2 linked regions of the Canis lupus familiaris genome follow. The protein of the gene in region 1 interacts with the protein of each later gene in a pairwise test. Links are inferred from orthologs where the notes say so. Each region holds a gene or a part of one and is shown in the gene's direction. Other genes may lie near its edges.

Evidence for each region.
Region 2: the proteins of CAMK2B (region 1) and RAP2B interact in binary tests that used the Homo sapiens proteins (3 or more experiments, as listed by UniProt). The two-hybrid records come from large-scale screens. The link is inferred for Canis lupus familiaris from reciprocal best matches to the Homo sapiens genes CAMK2B and RAP2B.

Annotation. Positions count from the first base shown.
Region 1 is NC_049237.1:14,306,653-14,317,436, forward strand, and holds part of CAMK2B (calcium/calmodulin-dependent protein kinase type II subunit beta), read left to right. Parts: intron 1-2,992; coding exon 2,993-3,065; intron 3,066-5,405; coding exon 5,406-5,508; intron 5,509-5,596; coding exon 5,597-5,680; intron 5,681-6,904; coding exon 6,905-6,999; intron 7,000-7,148; coding exon 7,149-7,271; intron 7,272-7,637; coding exon 7,638-7,721; intron 7,722-8,291; coding exon 8,292-8,334; intron 8,335-9,265; coding exon 9,266-9,340; intron 9,341-10,784. UniProt on the Homo sapiens protein: Calcium/calmodulin-dependent protein kinase that functions autonomously after Ca(2+)/calmodulin-binding and autophosphorylation, and is involved in dendritic spine and synapse formation, neuronal plasticity and regulation of sarcoplasmic reticulum Ca(2+) transport in skeletal muscle.
Region 2 is NC_049244.1:48,049,033-48,058,649, forward strand, and holds RAP2B (ras-related protein Rap-2b), read left to right. Parts: upstream 1-5,605; 5' UTR 5,606-5,655; coding exon 5,656-6,207; 3' UTR 6,208-6,211; intron 6,212-6,246; 3' UTR 6,247-6,298; downstream 6,299-9,617. Other genes in the region: serine/arginine repetitive matrix protein 1-like, read right to left, coding at 2,382-2,511, 3,179-3,406, 4,102-4,376, 4,555-4,843, 5,220-5,401. UniProt on the Homo sapiens protein: Small GTP-binding protein which cycles between a GDP-bound inactive and a GTP-bound active form. Involved in EGFR and CHRM3 signaling pathways through stimulation of PLCE1.

The DNA of each region.
Region 1 (10,784 bases):
GGAACCGTGGCAGACGGGCTGAAGCTCACTCCCATCCTGGGAGGGCGGCAGTGCTGACTGCCTGTGTCCAGGGACACCCCCCACGCCGCCGGGAGGGGTCGGGGCCTGCTGAGGCAGGGACCCAGGAGGCTGGCCACGCGGGGTGGTCCGGGCCCCGGTAGGTGAATCGGCGGCCCTTCCAGGGGTGCTGCTCGCGGCAGAGCAGTCCTCGGCTCCTAGCGCCTGGATTCTCTGGAGGAGGCAGGGGCAAAGCAGGACTTGCTTTTTTGACCTCTTTCTTCTTCCCACTTGGGAGGAATTTGGCAGTTTGTGGGAAAACTGAAGGGTCTTTTCCAAAGCAGGCAAATCAAAATTCAAAATATTTAGAACCCGGTTTTTAAAAGGCTAGTAAGATAGTGGCTCCTGAGAGATGTTTGAAGGGCCTCCTGAGACTCCACTGCCCCAGTGAGAAGGAGGCGGGGGGGGGGGGGGGGAGGAGGGGGAGTGGGAGGAGGAGGAGGAGGAGGCAGGGGCACAGCAGAGGTGACCTCTGAGCCCAGAGGTCTGGGACCAGGACCCAGCCAGTGTCTGCAGCTCTCTTGGGAATAACTCTGACCCCCCCAAGAAAGGTCCCATGGGGATAATGGCACCAAGGTTGTGGGCTCAGATTGGAGTGGGGATGAGGGCCGGTGGTCTGGGCCCCAGGGGCCCCCCCAGGGCAGGGCTGCCCATAGTGTGCTCGGCCCATTCATTCCGGGCGGCGGGGGGGAAACCAGCCCATTTCTCCACCGGGGTGGCTGTGAAGCTTTTGGAGCAGGTCCTCAGAGTCACAGGCACAGCCAAGTCCTGCAATGCTGTCGCAGAGATGCAGCCCCTCTGCTGGCCTCGTGTGTCTGGTGCGTGTCTGGGCCCGGCACTCCCAGGAGGGATGGGGAGGGCAGGGTGCAGCCCACCCGCCCGGAGCCCACGTTACTAGTCTGTCCCGCAGCACATGGACCCGTGGGTCCAACAAACAGTCTCAGAACGTCTTGCTGCTGGGTGGGGCAGAGACAGAATTGGGAGCAGAGAGCCACCTGTCCACTGCCACGGAGGCCGCGGGCCAGTGCAGGGACACCCACCCCGAGCCCGCGGCTGCCGTGGGACTGCTGTGGGCACGGCCAACATGGGGCGTGCAGAGGGCGCTGTCCCCGCCACGGGATGGTCTCCGGGTGAAGGCGGGATGTGCGTGACCTGGAGGTGAAGCAGGATGTGCCGCGGGCTCAGCAGGTCTGCCCGGAAGCCAGGTCACCCCAGGGCTGGCGGGAGCAGCCGGAGGTCCAGGCCACACCTGCCCGGGGCGGAGAGGCCGCGGTGCCGGGAAGGGCCTGCAGGGTGTACAGCTGGGTGCTTGCCGGGGCAGAGCCGTCGCAGCCCAGGAAGGCGCTGGTCCGCCTGGGCTCCCCTCGCTCCGGGCAGAAGCTGCGTGCGGGTGGCCTCAGGGATCTGATGGCCCAGGGCTCCGGGTCGGCTGTGAGCGGCCGGTCTCTGGAGGCCAAGAAGGTGTTTCCCACCCCGGGCCCTGGCTCAGCGACCTCAGTGGCCAGTGCTGGGGGTGTCACCCTGTCTCCGCTGTACCCAGTGGCCTGCCTGGCCTTAGCAGGGGGCCTCCAAAGAGCTTTGCCCCGTGGAGTGGGTTCCCTCCACCTCCAACCCCCCACCCCCATGGTGAGCTTGCTGTGAGGGATCAGCCCACAGGGGCCGAGCCTGTGCCTGTAGAACGGGGGCTGGCAGTGGCTGGATGTGGGCCTGGTGCCACCGGGACACAGATGAGGATCCCCGGGGACTGAGTACTTTGTGGGAGTCATGTGAGCAGGAAAGGCTTTGAGGGCAAGTTAGGCCAGGACATGGGACAGGAGACCCTAGGACACGAGGGCAGGAGATTCAGGACATGGGAGGGTGGTATCAGGGGTTGTTTCCTGACCTCCACAAAGCTCAGGAATCATCAATCAGCAGGTCGCTAGGCTCTGGCCGCTGCAGGGAGGAAACAGGTCTCCTTTTTCAGGCAGCAGGCGATGGTCCCCAGGTGTGGCCAGAGCTATCTGAGGAACCGGTCTGGTCCCTCACCCCGCCTGGAGTGCGCCATTAGGAAAACGAAGCCCACGCCACAGCTGACTGGCCATCACCTCGCAGGGTCTAGCTATGGCAGGAGGGGTCCTGAAGCAGTCTGCACCCCCCACCGCCACCAAAAGGGGATGCAACTGTGGCCCGGGCAGGTCCAGGGCTGTGAATATGGTCCCAGGCAGGTCCAGGGCTCCCGGCGGCCTGTGGCTGGCTCTGGGGCAGCTGGAAACTATGTGCACCCCTTGGGCCATCTGGGGGAGGTGGGCTCAGGCCAGAAGCTGGTGTGTGTAGTGGGGCGGGTGTCAGGGTCTGTGCTCGGGTGATGTTGCTCATGCACAGGTGTCCGAGGTGCCTGAGAGTGGCCCCCACCTCTCCCTCCCGCCCAGAAGGCCCCAGACTGCTCCCTGGCTCAGAGCCCCGGGCGGCCCAGCACAGCAGCCAGCAGTCAGTGTGGACGTTTGGGGCTGTTAACGCTCCAGCAGCTGCCCCAGAACAGAGTGTGGTCCTGGTGCTCGGGTGCCACCCTGCTGCGTGGTGCCAGCCTGCCTGGCAGGGTGTGGGCTCAGCCCTAGCCCCCTCTCGGAGGGCGCCTGGCCCAGCTTTGGGCGCAGTCGGTGTGAGCCTGGGGAGGGTGCACGGGGACCACAGGTGTTTCCTCTAAGTGTCGCTTACTGGGTCAGAGGAGACGGCTGGGCAGGGGTGCAGGGGGCTGGCTGTGCCCTCTGCCAGCCCGTGGGGGTGAGGAAGGGTTCTGGAGACTCTCTTCTGGCCGGTGTCTCCTCTCCCATATGGCAGGCTGCATCTTGATCCCCTGCTTCCCCACAACCCCAGTGCCACACAGCACCCCATGCCTGCACCCTGCCCCCCTGCCCCTCGAGGCCACCCTCACTAACACGCCTGCTGTTTGCTGCAGTCACTGCATCCAGCAGATCCTGGAGGCGGTTCTCCATTGCCACCAAATGGGGGTCGTCCACAGGGATCTCAAGGTGAGTCCCCCGCCCTGCTCTGCCAGGTGTCTGTCGTCCGTACCTGCATGTCTCGAAAAAGGAGGCCCTGGAGGGGCAGTGGGAGTGCCAGGAGCTGCTGCGTGTGAGTGTGCATGAGCTTGTGTGTGGGGGTGCAAGAAGGTGCATGCAGATGTGTGAGAATGTGCGCAGGTGTGTACTTGTGTGTGCATGTGTGTACACGCATGTGAGAATGCACGTGCACACGTGTGTGTGTGTGTGTGTGTGTGTGCGCACGTCCCTCCAGATGCCTCCAGGCTTCAGGACTGAGAGGCAGTGGTCAAAAATTAGCCTATTAGCACATGTCACCTGGGGTGTCATTCCGCGCTCCAGGTGGGACACAGACCTGGCAGGGGGGCACACAGGTGATGTGTGCACAGGTGGGGCTGATGCCAAGGGCGTAGGGGTGAGCTCAGGGCCAGCCCTGGTGGTCGCTGCCAGTGTCCAGCCCATTCTGGAAGTGTCTGCTGCCCCTGGCTCAGCTCTGGGCAAAACAGTTTGTCACCCCCCAGGGCACAGTGTGGCCTCAGGAGGAACAGCGCCCCCTCTGCCTTCCCCGCCTCCTCGTGTCTCTAAGGCTGGGCTCCTGCCAGCTTTTTCTCTAGGGTGTGAGGGAGCTATCATTCCCTCTGAGAGTCCCCAGGTGGCATTTGAGACCAGCCTTCCCACAGGCACTCTGGTGCTCACGCTAATTGGGGCCATGCCTTGGGCCACCAAGGGGTGTGTGTGTGTGTGTGTGTGTGTGTGTGTGTGTGTGTGTGTGTGAGCTCATCCTGGCGGGGCTGCTCTGGGGACGACATCCCACCGGGAGTGGGCCCAGCACCCCCTCCTATGCCCTTCACGTCTCTCTCTGCACACCCCACGTGGTCCTGCATCCCTCTGCCTGCGCCTTAAGCCCGCCTTGTCTGCCCTTGGGGCTTCACGGTCTGTCACCATATTGTTTGAAGCAGCGTCACTTGGAGGCATGCGTTCCCACCTGGTTCCTGGACCCTATGAGTCGTAGCTCACCCTGAGGCCACGGCATAGGAATGAAGATGGGTGCTCCCTCTGGCCCAGGTGTGACCCGGGGGTAAACAACCCTTGCTGAAAAGAGCAGAAGGGCAGGACGCATGGGCTCTCCGTCTCCTGCCTGCTGTGGAGGCCAGACGGCCTCTCCTCTTCTGGAGAGGACCCCTGTCCCCTGTGGGGACGGAGCCCCAGAGGTGGTACTGTGGTGGACTTGCTCGCAGCAAGGTGTGGGGGCGGAGGGGTGTGGAGCTGGGGTGGGGACCCAGCCCATCCCTTGGTGCTGCCTTGGTGCCTCTGGGCTGCTGAAGCCCCCGCCTGCCACTCAGATCCCTCGGTGCAGGTGATGGGGAGGCAGGGTCCCCCCAGCCCTGCTCACATGGGCAAAGTGAGGATGTCCAGGGCCTTCTGAGCTGTTCTGGGCGGGCAAGGCCACATGTCACATGGGCGACAGAGCTGTCCAGCCAGCTTGTGGGGCCAAGGGGCCAGGGGAGGACCCACTTTCTGCCATGGGTCCGGCCTCCTTCCCAGGCTCCAGGGACTGTTGTCAGGGCACCCAGCAGTGTGAACTCAGCTTTTTTGGGGCAGTGTTTGCCTTTCTTGGGGAGCTGACATGGCAGTGTGGTCTCAGTGGGCCTGCCAGATGGGGGGAAGGAGAGGGGAGGGGAGGGGGCCCTGGGAGCCCCCCTGTGGCCAGAGACAACGGAGCCCAGAGGCCGTGAGCTCCGAGTGCTCCACGCCGCCGACTGCCACAGGCGGCCAGGCCGGGGCGGGAGGGGCCCTGCGTACAGGACACGGGGTAGAGGGACACTCTGGGCCCTCGGGGCCACGTGTCCCCCGTTGGGGGCCGCAGTCTCCTTGGTGCTGCCGTGGGACAGGGGACGAGTGTCCTTCAGCTGCTCCCTGAGGCAGAGGGTGCTGGATGGGCCCGAGCCAGAGGGACGTGGGGGCAGATGCTCCAAGCCGCCTCCTTCCTCCTTACTCTCTGGGGGTCCCGCTCCTCCGGCAGCCCCTCACTGTGTCTCTGAGCACCCAGACGTGGAACATGGGGTGGGGGCATCGCCTGCCAGGGCTTGTCGGGTGCACTAAGGTCTGGTTGCTGCACCCTGAGGTGTGAGCCGGTTCCTCTGTGCCCCAGAGGCCCCCAGGGTGCTGAGGGGGTGCCCCAAGGTGTTGGCCAGGGCAGCACTCACACAGCAGGGGGTCAGACCCATGCACCCCGGCCTGCAAACCGCAGTCCTGTCTACTGTGTCCCCTGCCCTCCGTGACACCCCGGGTGTGAACCACACACCCACTGGTGGGTCACCTTCCCCGCAGCCCGAGAACCTGCTCCTGGCCAGCAAGTGCAAAGGGGCGGCCGTGAAGCTGGCGGACTTCGGCCTGGCCATCGAGGTGCAGGGCGATCAGCAGGCATGGTTTGGTGAGCATCCCGCTGGCCGCAGGGGGAGGAGGGAGGACGGGGCTCAGAGGCTGATGGGGCCCTCACCCCGCCCTTCCCCTGCCCCCAGGGTTCGCAGGCACACCGGGCTACCTGTCCCCGGAGGTCCTGCGCAAGGAGGCCTACGGCAAGCCGGTGGACATCTGGGCATGCGGTGAGACCCCTGTAGGGGCGGCGTGGGGCCGCAGGGGCCATGGGGGCCTGGACCACTGGTGCTGGGCCAGGCCAACCCCTGCACGGCCCATGGCTGGAGACACACTGGGGGGTTTGCGAGGGCTCAGTGTCTGGGAAGGTGGGGGCTGTGTGCGAGGGGACGGGATGTCCAGAAGGGTGGGTAGCCCACCAGCAGTGCTGACTCCTGGGGCTGCACCCGGCCTGGAGCCCCTGCCCGCACAGATTAGAATTGCCACCGCGACCCTGGCTGTGGCAGAGAAGCCCACCGCCCAGAAGAGAGGGCTGGGCCAGGGGCAGCACAGGGTGCTTAAGGGGTGGGGGCTATGCAGGCGGTGGCAGGGCTGCCTCCTTGGTGGGGGTCCCAGGCACAGCTGAACCCTGGATGGACGCTCGTGTTCCCAGGGCACAGGGTTGAGCATGAGGCGTGGGTGGGGGCCGCAGGGGGCTCAGGGAATGGAGGCTATGGGTGGTTCAGGGGGTGGGGTGTTGGGTGGGGTGGGGCATGGGTGGGGGCTGCAAGGGGCCCAGGGAGGGCTCAGGGAATGGGGGGCTGAGATGGGGTGGGGGCTGCGGAGGGCCCAGGGGGTGGGGATGGAGGCTGCAGGAGGGTGCCCAGGGAGTGGGGGGCTGGGGTAGGGTGGGGGTGGAGGCAGTGGAGGGGGCCCAGGGAGTGGGGGGCTGGGGTGGGGTAGGAATGGAGGCTGTGGGGGGTCCAGGGAGTGGGGCGCTGGGGTGGGGTGAGGGCTGTAAGGGGCCCGGGGAGTGGGGTGGAGTGGGGATGGAGGCTACAGGGGGGTGCCCAAGGAGTGGGGGGCTGGGGTGGGGTGGGGTGGAGGCAGCAGAGGGGGCCCAGGGAGTGCAGGCCCAGGGTGGGGTGGGGTGGGGGCTACAGGGGAGGCCTGGGGAAGGGCTCAGGGAGTGGGGGGATGGGATGGGGTGGGAGTGGAGGCTGTGGGGGGTCCAGGGAGTAGGGAGTGGAGTGGAGTGGGGAGTGGGGTGAAATGAGGATGGAGCTGCAGGGGGTGCCCAGGGAGTGGGGGGCTGGAGTGGGGTGGGGGTGGAGGCAGTGGAGGGGGCCCAGGGAGTGGGGACCTGGGGTGGGGTGGGGTGGGGGCTGCAGGGGAGGCCTGAGGATGGGCTCAGGGAGTTGGGGGCTGAGGTGGGGTGGGGCAGCCCCGTGAGGTCCATGCTCTGTTCCCCCCAGGGGTGATCCTATACATCCTGCTGGTGGGCTACCCACCCTTCTGGGATGAGGACCAGCACAAGCTCTACCAGCAGATCAAGGCAGGAGCCTATGATGTGAGTGCTGGGACCCCTTCGGACCCCTCCCCGTCCAGGGGGAAGCTCCTCTTCCCAGAACCAGGACCCTGATGTAGACCACTCGGAGAATCTGGCTCCCGCCTGGGGAGAGGGCTTCAGAAACACTCGTGGGTTGCCTTCTATTCTAGTTTCCCTCCCCCGAGTGGGACACCGTTACTCCTGAAGCCAAAAACCTCATCAACCAGATGCTGACCATCAACCCCGCCAAGCGCATCACAGCACACGAAGCACTGAAGCACCCATGGGTCTGCGTAAGTGCACCCAGCATGGTGACCCTGGGGTCTCCTCTGCACAGCTGACCGGCCTCCCTGGTCTCCTGAGTACTGCACGGCCTGTGGCCGGGGACACACTGGGGGGTTTGTGAGGGCTCAGTGTCTGGGAAGGTGGGGGCTGTGTATGAGGGGACGGGATGTCCAGGCGGACGAGATGTCCAGGTGGACGAGAGGGCCTGGCTGGGGAACACGGCTGTCAGGAAGGCCGGGAGGGTGAGGGTGAGGTGGGGGCAGATTTTAAGGGGTGGGGGCTGGGCAGCAGGTGGGATGGGTGGCTTGGATGCCCCAGCCCTGCTGCCCCAGCCCTCTCCCTGACCCGCATCCAAACGGCCTCTGTCCCCACAGCAACGCTCCACCGTGGCTTCTATGATGCACAGACAGGAGACTGTGGAGTGCTTGAAAAAGTTCAATGCCCGGAGGAAGCTCAAGGTGAGATGCAGCTCCCAAGTGCCCACCGCCCAGGTGACTGTGCCCTTAAGGGTCCTGGACTGGGAGCGGCCCCAGGGGTCCTGGCAGGCTTAGTGAGGGGAGGCACAGCGGTCCCAGCGATCTTGGCCCTATCCTGGGCCCCACATGGCAGTGACCCTGGAGAGCGTGGCACCAGCCTGCAGGCTGGGGGTTTCCTCGGGGTTCCCCGCAACAGGGTTCCATGCACCCAGGGCTGTGCACAGGCAGGTGCCCCGGGTCACTGCCGCTCACTTCAGGGTGAGTGAGTGGGCGGCCCTGACCCCCTGCAGGCTGAGCTAGGGGACCAGCCTGGTGGGTGGGGAGGAGAAGGCTGTCAGGGGGCCAGTGGGAGGAGCCCTGGGGTCCTGGAGCCCTCTAGAAGCTGTGGTCCACCGGCCACCGCTTTGTCAACTCTGGAAGCAGGCGGCCAGTCCCCTGCAGCTGCTGAGTCTGCAGACTGGTCTGCGAGGCAGGGGCCTGAGTCCTGCCAGGCGCCCCCAGGCTGAGGTCGGGGCCGGGGTGGCCAGGCCTCAGCTGCCTGTTTCTCCCCAGGGCGCGATCCTCACCACCATGCTGGCCACGAGAAATTTCTCAGGTGAGAATGGTCTTCTCCTGGAAAAGCAGGCTTCCGAGGGCACCAGTGCCAGCCGCCCGCCTTCCCTCACCCCATCTCCCCGCCCATCTGCCTGCCGCTCAGCGGCCTGGCCTCCTGCTCTCCCGGGGCCACAGGGCCTAGGCTCCGGGGCGCCCCCACCCTGACCTGGCACTCACCCCCGTCCCTGCGTGTTGGGTGTCTGTATCCTCGCCTGACGCCCTCATGTGTGAGCTGCCCGCCGCCTGGGCCGCAGCTCTGTGTGTCTGTCGGCACCTCCGTGGCCTTGTTGTCCTGAGCCCTCTGAGCACCCGTTCTGTGTGGGGGAGAGAGAGGAGGACCCGGGACCTCTCCACTGAGCTCCGGACTCGCTGGTGGCTGCCCGCCTGGGGCACCGAGGCCAGGGGGGTGGGGGGGGGGGGGGGGGGCGGGGGCGGGTTGTGGCGTGCGGCTGCTCAGGGGCGTCTGTCAGCGACCCCGAGGCCAGGGGCCCTGGCGGCCCCGTGTGGGCACGGCGTCACCTGAGGGGCAGGTGGCCCACTGGCTGTCCTGTGGTTGTCTGTCGCCCGCGTCATTGGGTGCGGGAGCGTCTGGGGTCCGTCCCTGTGCGTCTGTATCCAGCACCCCGTCCTGTGACCTTTGCTGTGATCCTGTGGTGCCGGGAACGGGGGGTGTGTGTCACTCCAGCACGATGGGTCCCATCCTGGGCGCGAGAAGCCCCCGCTGGGGTTTTCTAAGGAGAAAGGAGGCAGATGCTTTTCACCTGTCACTCAGTCTGGGTCCTGTTCCCACTCTCCCGGGAACGGGACTCTGGAGCCATCCGCCACCGACTGTGGACTCTAATCTTCTTCTGCTTCCTTTGTCTCTCCTCCTCCCTCCCCTGCCCGCCCCGTCTGTGTCCGCCCCTCCCTCGTCTCTAACCCGGTGCTAACAGTGGGCAGACAGACCACCGCTCCGGCCACAATGTCCACCGCGGCCTCCGGCACCACCATGGGGCTGGTGGAACAAGGTAGATGTTCGTGACCAGGGTCCCGCCTGGCGGCATGCAGCCCCCTCGCTGCACGCAGCTGCCGGCCGGGCCTCCAGAGCCACCCCCTAGGCCCCGGGAGCCCCCGCTCCCGCCCTGGACAGGTCCCACTTGGAGAACAGGAGGCAGCCCCCGCTATGCTAAAGGAGGGGCCAGGCTAGGTGACCCCTGAGTCCTGCCTCCCCCCACGTGCATCACACGGATCCTCGGTCCTGACCCCTGACCCCCTAGACTCTAGGGGTCAGGAGACCCCTCTGGACAGAGTCTTGTGCTCTCTGCTGTCTCTCCCCACTTGTGCCTCACGAGCCCTGCTCAGAGTGACCTTGAGCACCCAGAGGGAGCCTCAGGGCTGCTGTGGGGTCTGGAGCCTGAGTGGGGGACTCCCGGGGAGAAAGACACCCTGCACTGTGCACCCCCGGCCTGGCCCCCCCTGCCCCCAGGGACCTGCCCTGTGCTGCTCCCCGTCACTCGCATGGAGCTGGTGGTCTGTGCTGGGTCCGACGTGTGCATGTGTGCCCTGTGAGCCCCAGGACAGGGGAGCCTCAGCACCCCCTCCCCGAACGTCCTGTTGGTTTTTTGTATGAGGCCCCTCATCTCTTCCCACACGTGTGAAGCCGGCCTGCTCCTCCCAGGAGCCTCAGGCCAGCAGCTCCCGCCCACCCAGCTGTGACCTTAGCCAGAACCCCTGAGGGCCGGTGGACCGGGCCCCAGGATCTGAGGGTGGACCAGCTTGAGCTGAGGGTGGTGCAGGTTTAGGGTGCACGGAGCCACCTGCAGCTGGGGTGGTGCCATCCCCGGGCTCCCCAGACGGAGCTCTGGGGCCTGGTTTTGTGCTGGTGCCTCGTGCTTCGGCTTGGTCAGGGCAGAGGCCGCCCCAGCCAGCCGTCCACCCCAGCTCTTGCCTCCAGGTCCCGCAGGGGATGCGTCCCCCAGCCACCTCCTTCTGGGGGTACTCAGGGCAGGGCCACCCTCGGGAACGAGGGTCTGCGCCCCTCCCGTGAGCCCAGAGGATGTGCCCGGCGGCAAGGCCCCAGAGGGCTTCGATCCTTAGCTTCCTCTCCGGAGCCTTTCTGGAGCGCGTGACGGGAAGGAGGAAGCGGGGCCAGGGAACAGGGAGCCTGGGCGCTCCTGGTGACGCGCTGCTGCCCAGCCCAGTGAGCCAAGCCTCTGGGCTGCTCTCTGCCGGGGGCTCCTGCCTGAAGCCCACCTGCCTGCAGCGGATGCGGAGCAGAGCGACTGCATGAGGCCGTGTGCATGCGCAGCCCCTGCCGGGGCACCCAGGGCTGCTGTCCCGGGGGTGGTCAGTGCATGTGGGCTGAGCCCAGCATGGCTGTCCCGGGCGACCAGCGAGGGGACGAGGCAGAGGCTGGGCCCTTGGGCTGAAGCCCCTCTGCTATGTCGACCCCTCTCAGCCAGCTGCACTGGG
Region 2 (9,617 bases), on another chromosome or scaffold:
AGCTCAAATAGACTCAAATAGTCACAAGAACACTAGAGCTAGTTTTCTACCTTTTAAATAATTCTATAATAAAGACAAGAAAAGTATATAAAAAAAGGTCAGGGTTTATTTTTGGGGGGGGGAGTTGGGTGGTAATTGGTTAGTTTTACTTTATTCTTTCTTTTTTTTTAAACATCCCAAATTCCTTACCATAAACATATGCTACTTATCTAATGAAAATGACATAACTATTTTCCTTATTGTGACAGAAAATCCTGCACAAGTACAACATTTTCTAGACAAATATCCTAGTACTCAAAGTGACTCCTTCTCTGAGCTTAGGTACTCAAGGTCTTATTTTAATTTAGCATGCAACAGAAAGAAAAACTCAAGAGACCGTATAGGTAAGACAGTTTTATTGAGTTCATTTAATTTCCCCTTAGTAATGAAACTTTTAATCACATAAATCAGTGGTTTGTGTGTGTATTTTCACTAAGGTTGACATGTGAGAGAGACATACTTACTTTTATAATTATTTGTTTGTATGTGTTGATACAAAACCCTCAGGGATTTTAACAGAAACCCACCAGACTTAAGAGGAATTATCAAGATCCTTCTTAAAAAAAAAAAAAAGAAAAAGAAAAAGAAAAAGAAAAAAAGAAAGTTGAATTGGCATCTTCACAAATTCACGTAAACCAAATTTAGCAGGTTAGCAACATCATACTGCGTACTGCACAGTCACTGTTAAAAAGCTTCATTTCTACTCGTTCCCAAGCCCACACCTGACCTCCCTTCCTACAGCAGGTGCCTTGCCATTTTTTATTTATGAAGAGAAGGTTGCTTGTAGCTTGAACTTCCTCAACTTCTCACCCTCTCAAGCTCCACTTCAGGTCTCTTGGCTTTTTCTTGACTGTTGGAGAGAAAGTATGTATCTTCAGGCTTCCCACTAGAGTCCTCAGACTCCTCCTTGGTCCTCTCCCCAGAAACTCCCATTCCGCGGACATCCTATTGCTTAGATCTCAATCGCTCCATCTTTACTGATGCTCTCCTTTCAAATGAAAAGCAAAGTGGGGCCATAAAAAAAATAAAAAAAAAAAAAAGCCAAAAAAAAAAGAAAAAGAAACCTTAAAAATGCTCGAAGAAAACACGAAGTGGCATCAGCTAAAGCTACAATCGTGATGAAATAAACCTCTGCTTTCTGTAAACGTGGAGGCAGGTAGGTGGCTTATGCTCTTGAGGACTTAGAAGACCTGGATTCCAACAAACCATCTCATTGCCCGAAGGCCCAATCTCAGTGTCCCAGAAGCTCAGCAGTCCCCGCTGTGGGAGCAAAAGCCAAGGGAGGAGGGTACCCTTGTTTGTGCAACATACATTGTCAACATACATTGTCAGTGCTTAAGCAGTCCTTACCCGGTAACTTTTACATTAGGTTGTTTCCTAGAAATACCTTTTCAGGTTACGTGCAAAAGTCAGTCTTCTTCGGAGAAAGGCTTTATCCACTGGAGGCTTGGTATCTTTCCCCAAGACAGCACCGATTTAGTGCTTCCACCCAAATAAGGATAGACTCTGCTCATCTTAAAAGTCATTTTGATGACTCAGGGAGACGGTAACGTCGGTATACATTTTTCTAAGGATCCAGGAAGTGGTATGTCTCACCATGGATTAATATAATCTTCTACTACAAGTGGAATTTGGAAAAGGAATAAAATGTACTTCCTAGTTTCATCAATAAATATTTATGGAGGGCCTCCCGCGGAGGCACTGTACTAGGTGTTATGAGGGTCAGAGATGGCTCCAAAGATAAGCCAGATATGGCCTCTGCCCTCAAGGCATTCCCAAGGTGCTGGGTGACAAGACATAGACGTGTCAATAATTACAGTAGAGGACAGATAATGATTCATGCCCTAAGTGAGGTAAAGACACCTAACAGATTTCACAGGAGGAAGTGGCCAATCCTAAAAATATATGTGTCATCAGTTTCTTTACTTCATTTTGAATCCCAAAGTCCTAGTGCAAATCTGTCTGTGAGAGAGCACCTGAACATAATAAACACTACTACCGAAGAATCCCTAATAGACAGTGTTCACACTGTGGCATCTTTCTGGTACTGGTACCAAGATTCGGTAATACCGATCCACGTGACGACCTGAGGTCCTGAGGAGGGAATCTTCTAGACCAGGCTGTGAGGCTACCTGGGTCAGAGTAGTAACTGCCATGCATTCATGGGGCTCTGCAGCTTTAAAAGCATGTTTCCATCCATTATCTGTCAATTATTTTCCCTGAGGACAGGCTGGCACCATGTAAAGTGCAGCCAGGACACCAGGGTTCTAATTTTGCTCCCTTCTCTCTGATGCAAAATGAGGGGTTTGGTCACTAGATTCTCTCCAAGGTTCCTCATGTAGCTAGGTACATAGGGCAAATTTTATTATCACCATTTTATAGACGGGGAAACTGGAGTCAAGAGAGCTCAAGGGACTCGCCCAAGGTCTCAGATAATAACTGATATCCAGTTCTTGAGACGAGACACCAGACCTGTAAGGACAAAGTATTTTCTATTATGTCAGACTCAGGACCCTTCCTAGTATTTGTGGGCAAGAGGACAAAGAGAGGCCCACATAGCATTACTCTAAATACTTAAGTTATAAATCAAGATAGCAAACTGTTAACAAAATAGGATCCATGTGTCCTCTCACCCTGACAAATACCTCCTTACAAGGACCTGCATGGTGTGAATCAGGAATTCGGGACTCTTCCAAGGAGGAGGCTGGAAAGGGGAAGGGAAGCAAAGCTGACTCCATGGAGGACCCTTCCTGCACCCACTGGGAGCCCACAGCACCTGGGAGTGCACACCTCAGCCCAACAAACAGCCATCCCTGGACACAGGACTGAGTTCAAAATTCCAAGCAAGTCCTATTTGGGCAGAGGATTCCAGAATTCTGACTCCCTGGAGCCTGGCCTAGAAGCAGGTTCAGCTTCCTTGACCCTGCGGGAGGGTGCATCACCAGGGGAGAACCCCGGGGCGGTGGGCAGAGGTCCCTCTCGCTTGGGGTGGAGACAGTCTGACCTCAGGCCCCAAGGCTGACCCTAAGCAAGAGTACAACCTGGGGACTTCCCCGAGAGGAGGCAGTAGGGCCCCGAGAGGCACACGCCAGCTTCTGCAGCCCAACAGGGAGGCCGGGGTCCTAGCCCGGCCACTCACCCGCTGGGAAATCGCAGGCAAGTCACCCAACATCCCAGGACCTCAGTTGCTTCCTCTTTAAAACAGGTGTAACAAGGCCTGTGAGGCGGCGCGGAGGAGCCGTGCGGGACCTTCTGCAGACATTCAGCGCTGGTCAGTGCTGCGGGGCTTCTCCTCTGCTGCAGGAGGTGGGTGTGCCTCTGACAGGTGGGGTGCTCTTTGCTTTTTTCTTCTTTTTTTTTTTTTTTCCTGGAGGATTACATAAGCACAGAGTTCGAGGCGGGCTCTCTGATAGTCAAGGTTAAAACACGTTGTCTGCGCTCCACCGTGAGGGCGGGGCGGGCACCCCCCGGCACCCCCCAGCACCCCGCTCCCCTCCCCACCCCCCAGGCGGCGGCTGCACCCACGTCCCGCCGGGGCCGGTGGGGACTTGGGGCTGCGCCTCCGCGGCTCGGGGCAGGTCAGCCCGCGAACGTGGCCGGACCCGGGGCCCAAACCCAGCGCTCGCCACGCAGCCGGGCGCGTCTCGTCCGAAGCGCACGCCGAGCGCGAGTAGCCTCGGCTTGCAAAACCAAAAAAAAAAAAAAAAAAAAAGTGCAGACTCGGAGCTGGGGGGGTTGACGCAGCTCGTGCCCCCCTACCCACCCCCGCACCCCCGGCTCCGGGGCTCGTGCACACGCGGGCCCCCCGACAGGTCCCGGGTCCCGGCCCCGGGCGAGGAGGCAGGGAGGCTGGGGCAGGTCGAGGCAGCGCCCCCGCCCCTCCCGCGGCCGCGAGCCCAGCCCGACGTGCAGGCGGCCCGCCCCCAAACCCAGACGTCTGCAGGAGGACAAGCCTGGGCATCCCCGCCCCCGCCCCCGCCCCGGGACCCGGAGCGGGCGGCGCACGCAGTCCGGGCGGCCCCCTTGCACGCCCCCGTCCCCCCACTTCCCGCCCAGCCGCACACTTTGCAAACTCCGCAGGAGCCCGGGCCCAGCGGGGGGAGCAGGGCGCCCGCGGCCTCCGGGCGCTGCGCAGCCAGGCTCGCCCCGCAGCGCCAGCGGGGCACTATATTTAGCGCCGAGCTCTCCGCCTTAATTCCTCTTCTTTTTTTGCACCCCGGGCTCCCAGAACGACTAGGTCGGGGGAAGCGGGAGGGGGGGGCGGGGAGCAGCGGGGAAAGAACAGCTGCGCCTCCGCCCCCCGCTCGAGCTCCGCAGGCGCCAATCGCGAGCCGAGGCTACTTTTCCGCCAATGAAGCGGCCGCAAGTGCGGGAGCCTCGGCGGCAGCCAATGGGGCCCCGGCCGGGGCGGCGAGACGGGCGCGGCGGGGCCAATGGGGCCCGAGGCCGGGAGAGGTAATGTGAGCCGCGCGGTGGCTGCGCGGGCCCCAGCTTCCTATTTCTAAGCCCGAAAACCTGTTCCGCCCACTGAGCATGCCCGGGCTCGCTGCCGGCGCCGCGGCCGTGCGGCTGGGGGTCGGCCCGGCCTCCGCGCTTCCGGGAGGCTCCCCTGTGCCGGCCGGAGCCCCCGCGGGCCCCTTTGTGCGGGACGACGGGAGTGGGGGGCCGGGAGCGTGTCGGGGCCCGCGCCGTGGGAGGGGGCACAGGTGCCCCGCGCGCCGCTCCCACGCCCTCGGGGTCTCCCGGCGCCCGGGACAACGGGAGCGGCCGAGCGCGCAGCCCACGCCGCGGCGCCACCGCCCCGCTGCACCAAGCCGCCCCCGTGCACACCCACGCGCGCTGCTCACCCCGCGCCCGGCCCTGGGCCCCTCGCACGGCCCGGGAGGCCCCGCCCCCGGACACGCCCCCCGCGCGGCCCCGCCCCCGAGCTCCTCGCAGGCCGCTCCCCGGGAGGCCCCGGCCCCGCCCCCCGCGCGAGGCCCCGCCCCTCGCGCCCAGCCCCGAGCCCCTCGCAGGCCGCTCCCGGGGAGGCCCCGCCCTCGCCCCGCCCCCAGCGCGGCCCAAGCCCCGCCCCCGCGCGAGGCCCCGCCCCCCGTGCCGACCCCGAGCCTCTCGCAGGCCGCTCCTGGGGAGGCCCCGCCCCGGCCCCGCCCCCCCCGCGCGCGGCCCCGCCCCCTTGCCCGGCCCCCCGGAAAACCCGGCGCGGCGGCTGGCGCGGGCGAGGCCGTCGGCGCACTGGGCATGCTCGCCGGGGCGGGGAGGGCCGGGCTGCGCGCGGCGAGTAGGAAGCCGTCGCCCCGCGGAGGCTGCGGGGAGAGCGCGCTGGGCCGCGGCGGTGGGCGCACGGTCTGCGGGGCCCCATGCCACGCGCGGCCCGGGCCGGCGCGCACGTAGCAGCAGCCCCCCCGGCAGCCCGCCGCCGCCGCCGCCGCCGCCGCCTCCCGCCGCCCGGGCCGCCGGCATTGTCCTCCCGCGCCGCCGCCGTCGCCGCCGCGCCGCCGCCGCCGCCGCCAGGCTGAGCCCGGGGGCAGGTCGTGCAGCCGACGAGCCCAGGCGCCCCGCGGCGCGCACCCCCGACGGGGCCGCGGCGGGCGCGGCGAGGGCGCCGGCGGAGCCATGAGAGAGTACAAGGTGGTGGTGCTGGGCTCGGGCGGCGTGGGCAAGTCGGCGCTCACCGTGCAGTTCGTGACCGGCTCCTTCATCGAGAAGTACGACCCCACCATCGAGGACTTCTACCGCAAGGAGATCGAGGTGGACTCGTCGCCGTCGGTGCTCGAGATCCTGGACACGGCGGGCACCGAGCAGTTCGCGTCCATGCGGGACCTGTACATCAAGAACGGCCAGGGCTTCATCCTCGTCTACAGCCTGGTCAACCAGCAGAGCTTCCAGGACATCAAGCCCATGCGGGACCAGATCATCCGCGTCAAGCGGTACGAGCGCGTGCCCATGATCCTGGTGGGCAACAAGGTGGACCTGGAGGGCGAGCGCGAGGTGTCGTACGGCGAGGGCAAGGCCCTGGCCGAGGAGTGGAGCTGCCCCTTCATGGAGACGTCGGCCAAAAACAAAGCCTCGGTGGACGAGCTGTTCGCGGAGATCGTGCGGCAGATGAACTACGCGGCGCAGCCCAACGGCGACGAGGGCTGCTGCTCGGCCTGCGTGATCCTCTGAGCCGCCCGCGCGCGGGAGCCCCGCGCCCCCGCGCCCGCCCCCGCGCCCGCCCCCGCGGGGGGGATGCGCTGCGCCCGCGCCGACCTCGGGGGCCGCTGTGCCTCGGCCCCGGGGCGGGGGCGGGGGTGCCGGGGGCCCGGCTGGGCTGCACCGCCCGGCTCCCGACCCCCGCCGACCTCCGCTGACCTCCGCCGACCTCCGCCGACCTCCGCTGACCTCCCCCTCCGAGCCCCGGTGCAGCCCCGGTGCAGCCCCGGTGCAGCCCCGGGGGCGGTGCGGCTCCTGCTGCATGCACGCTGCTCGTGGACCCCGGGAGACGCGGATTTTTCCACCCCACTCCCCGCGTAAGGAGCCGTTAGGGCGCTGTGTGGGCAGCTCGACACGGGCCAAAGTTTCAGCCTGCAAAAAAAAAAAAAAAAGAAAAAGAAAATAAATAAAAATAAATAAATAAATGGGGTGGGGAGGTAGAAAGGGAGGGGGCAATTTTTCCTTTTTTTTTTTTTATTTTTATTTTTTTTCTTTTGCCTCCAACCACCCCTTTTTGTAGTTCCACATGGAAGGAAGTCCGGGAGAACCAAATGAAGGAGCAGGACAGGAGGAAGGGAAGAAACTTTTGTGTTGGCTTTTTTTATTTTTTATTTTTTTATTTTTTTTTCTTTCCTTTTTTTTTTTTTTTTTTTTTTTTCCAGGAGGAGCTGGAAATTAAAGATCGGGTTCCTTTTCTGCCAGCTTGGAAGGGCAACCCTGTGACTGATTGTGATTCTAAGGATGTCTATGCAAAGTTGGATTCTTGTTACAGTGTATCCAATCTGAAGTATGCACATCTGAACTGGGACTGTAAACACTGATGCCAATGCAGTGTGGGGTGCCAGAAAGTGTCTGCTGATATTTGTGGAAAAAAAAAAAATCTATTTTGTTTACCTACTGTATCAAAGGGGAGTCTGGGGGAGAACGGTAGTATTTTTTTTTTTTTTTTATCAGCTGTGAAAAAAAAATGTTACAGATCTGCACATTTTTGTGTGTACTGTGTGTGTGTGTGTGTGTGTGTGTGTGTTTCTTTGGGTTTCTTTTTGTTTTTTGTTTTTTTTTTTTTTAAGTTTAGCTTTTCTTTTTGGTTGGCAGTGACAGGTTTTGATGACTAGCTCTTTAAAATACAGTACAAAGACTTCAAAAATGTGATTCAGGGCCCCAGCACCCCTGTGTCTGCAGAGTGCCTTCAAAACTCAGCTGTTCCAGCCGGTGCCAACCTGTGAACTTCCCACCATAACCCAGAATCTGCTATTCCCCAAACCACTTCCTAGTTTCCTTTCTGTAATCTTCCTGAAGGAGCCAGGACAATAGGGCCTGTTGTTTGGTGAATTTCTTTATTATTTCCAGCCCTTAAAATGTAATTTCCATGTCTTGCAATGGTTTTGGTTGTTTTTTTTTGTTTTGTTTTTTTGTTTTTTTATTTTGTTTTGTTTTGTTTTTTTGTTTTTTTTCTTTTTTTGCCCTTCTTTCTTTCTTTTTTATCTGGCTTCATTTTGTTCAAATGTTCAGGTATTTAGCTCCCCTTTGTATTATTTTTAAAAATTTTTTGGGGTTATCTGTTCTAGGGTGTTCCTCCAGAAGCAAAGAACAAAATTTTCCTGTTGTGATGTACCAAGAGAATTCTCACTAATTGTAATTTTTAATTCCAGACACGCGTTTAATCATTGTCTCTCCATTTTAAGACTTTTAATACAGATGTCATTTTTAAAGAAACAAATCCAAAACTATTGTTTGTGTTTCTGTGTTTCATATTCAGTGATTTAATACAGTATCGAGGCTGAGGTGGATAGGGGCAGCAGGTGCATGATGCTCCCAGCAGAAATACCTCAGTGACAAGTTGGGTGACATTACTTCCAACTCCCGTAAATATGGAAAAAATCTTAAAGGTCTAAGAAGCCCTGAGGGTATGGCCATTACCATTTGACTACAAGATAAGCAGGATTTTGAATCTGTTCTGCTGACAGGGAGCAGTTTACCTCACTGTGGGTAGGGAAGGGGAGAAACCAACTCCTAATACTGCCTTAGATTTGGTGAAGTCACCAGTCACCTGACCAGGCAGGGTAGTGCTTTTAACTTTTCTTTTTCTTTCTTGCTTTCTGTCTTTCTTTCTTCTTCCTCTTTTTTTTTTTTATTAATGTTTTTGTTTAATTACATCACATACAAAGTCAAAAACATGTTTGAGGAACATGATTTCCAATTCTGAAGTCATTCCTAGTAGGGTTTTCTGCAGTGCATTTGTGTGGGTTGCAGACCCTGTCTTAATACTTGAGGTTTTGGTTTGAAAATAGGTCATTATATTAAAAAAAAAGAAGAGAAAGGAAAAAATAAGATAGACCCCTTACTCCCATTAAACTGCAATTTGTGGACCATTTTGACCTCATGAAATTTTCCTTCTAACAGTAGGAGGCAGTGTGAGCTTCGTATTGTATTTTATTTTACTTAAGGGCCACTTTACTAATATAACCTCTGTGTAGAATAAAAGAAACTATATGACTGTATATCAAGAGCACACGATACACCTTAGCTGTGTGAAGTGGAGGTGAAGTCATCTGTGGGGGAAGCCAAAAGAAGTTACAGGCCACAGGCGTCTTTAAAGCTGTATTAACATCTTGCCTTAAAAATGTGTCCTTGGCCCATGTGACCTGTCACTCAATATTCCAGCGTGGTGGAGAAAGAGAGAATTTGCCTGTGATGGTCCTATGGCTTTTTTTTTTTTTTTTCATTCTTGATCTTACATAAGGTTAGAATCACTCATTTGGAAGGCAGTATGTACGTGAGAAATAGAGAAATTAAGAAATAACTCAAATTTATGTCTTTGCAAATATTGCCTTGCATTTGAATGAATTCAGTTCTTTGGTAGATTCAAAGTGTTGAAGATTCTGAAGACCTCTACCAGGTTCTATGTGAAGGACTTTTTTTTTTTTTTTAAGGCATTTGGTGACTGTTGAGTTATGGCTTTGTTGGTTTTTTTTTTTTTTTTTTTAAGCCTTTGACATAAAGTGCTGCCAAAATATCTAACTAACTTAAGACATGTATATACTCCTGAAACGGAGAATTTGAAAACGGCAAATTGGACATGGACTAGGTTGCTGGGTGCATTAATCATCTTCACACAGCATTTAGTCACTTGCATGACTAATACTTTATAGGTGTGAGATGCCAGGGCAGACTTTAATATGCTTTCACTGAGTACTGTAAGATAAATGCTTTCTGGATTCTCCATGAAAAGCAATTTTGCGTGTGTGCCTGGAGCAGGGACGTAGTAGTTCTGGGTTTTGTAGCTTTCTCCATTATTTTCTTGACAAAATTGACAGATATCGGGGGCATTGTTCTTAAAGACTACTCAGTTTATTGGGCTAGTAAGAGCCCCCTGGAGTATG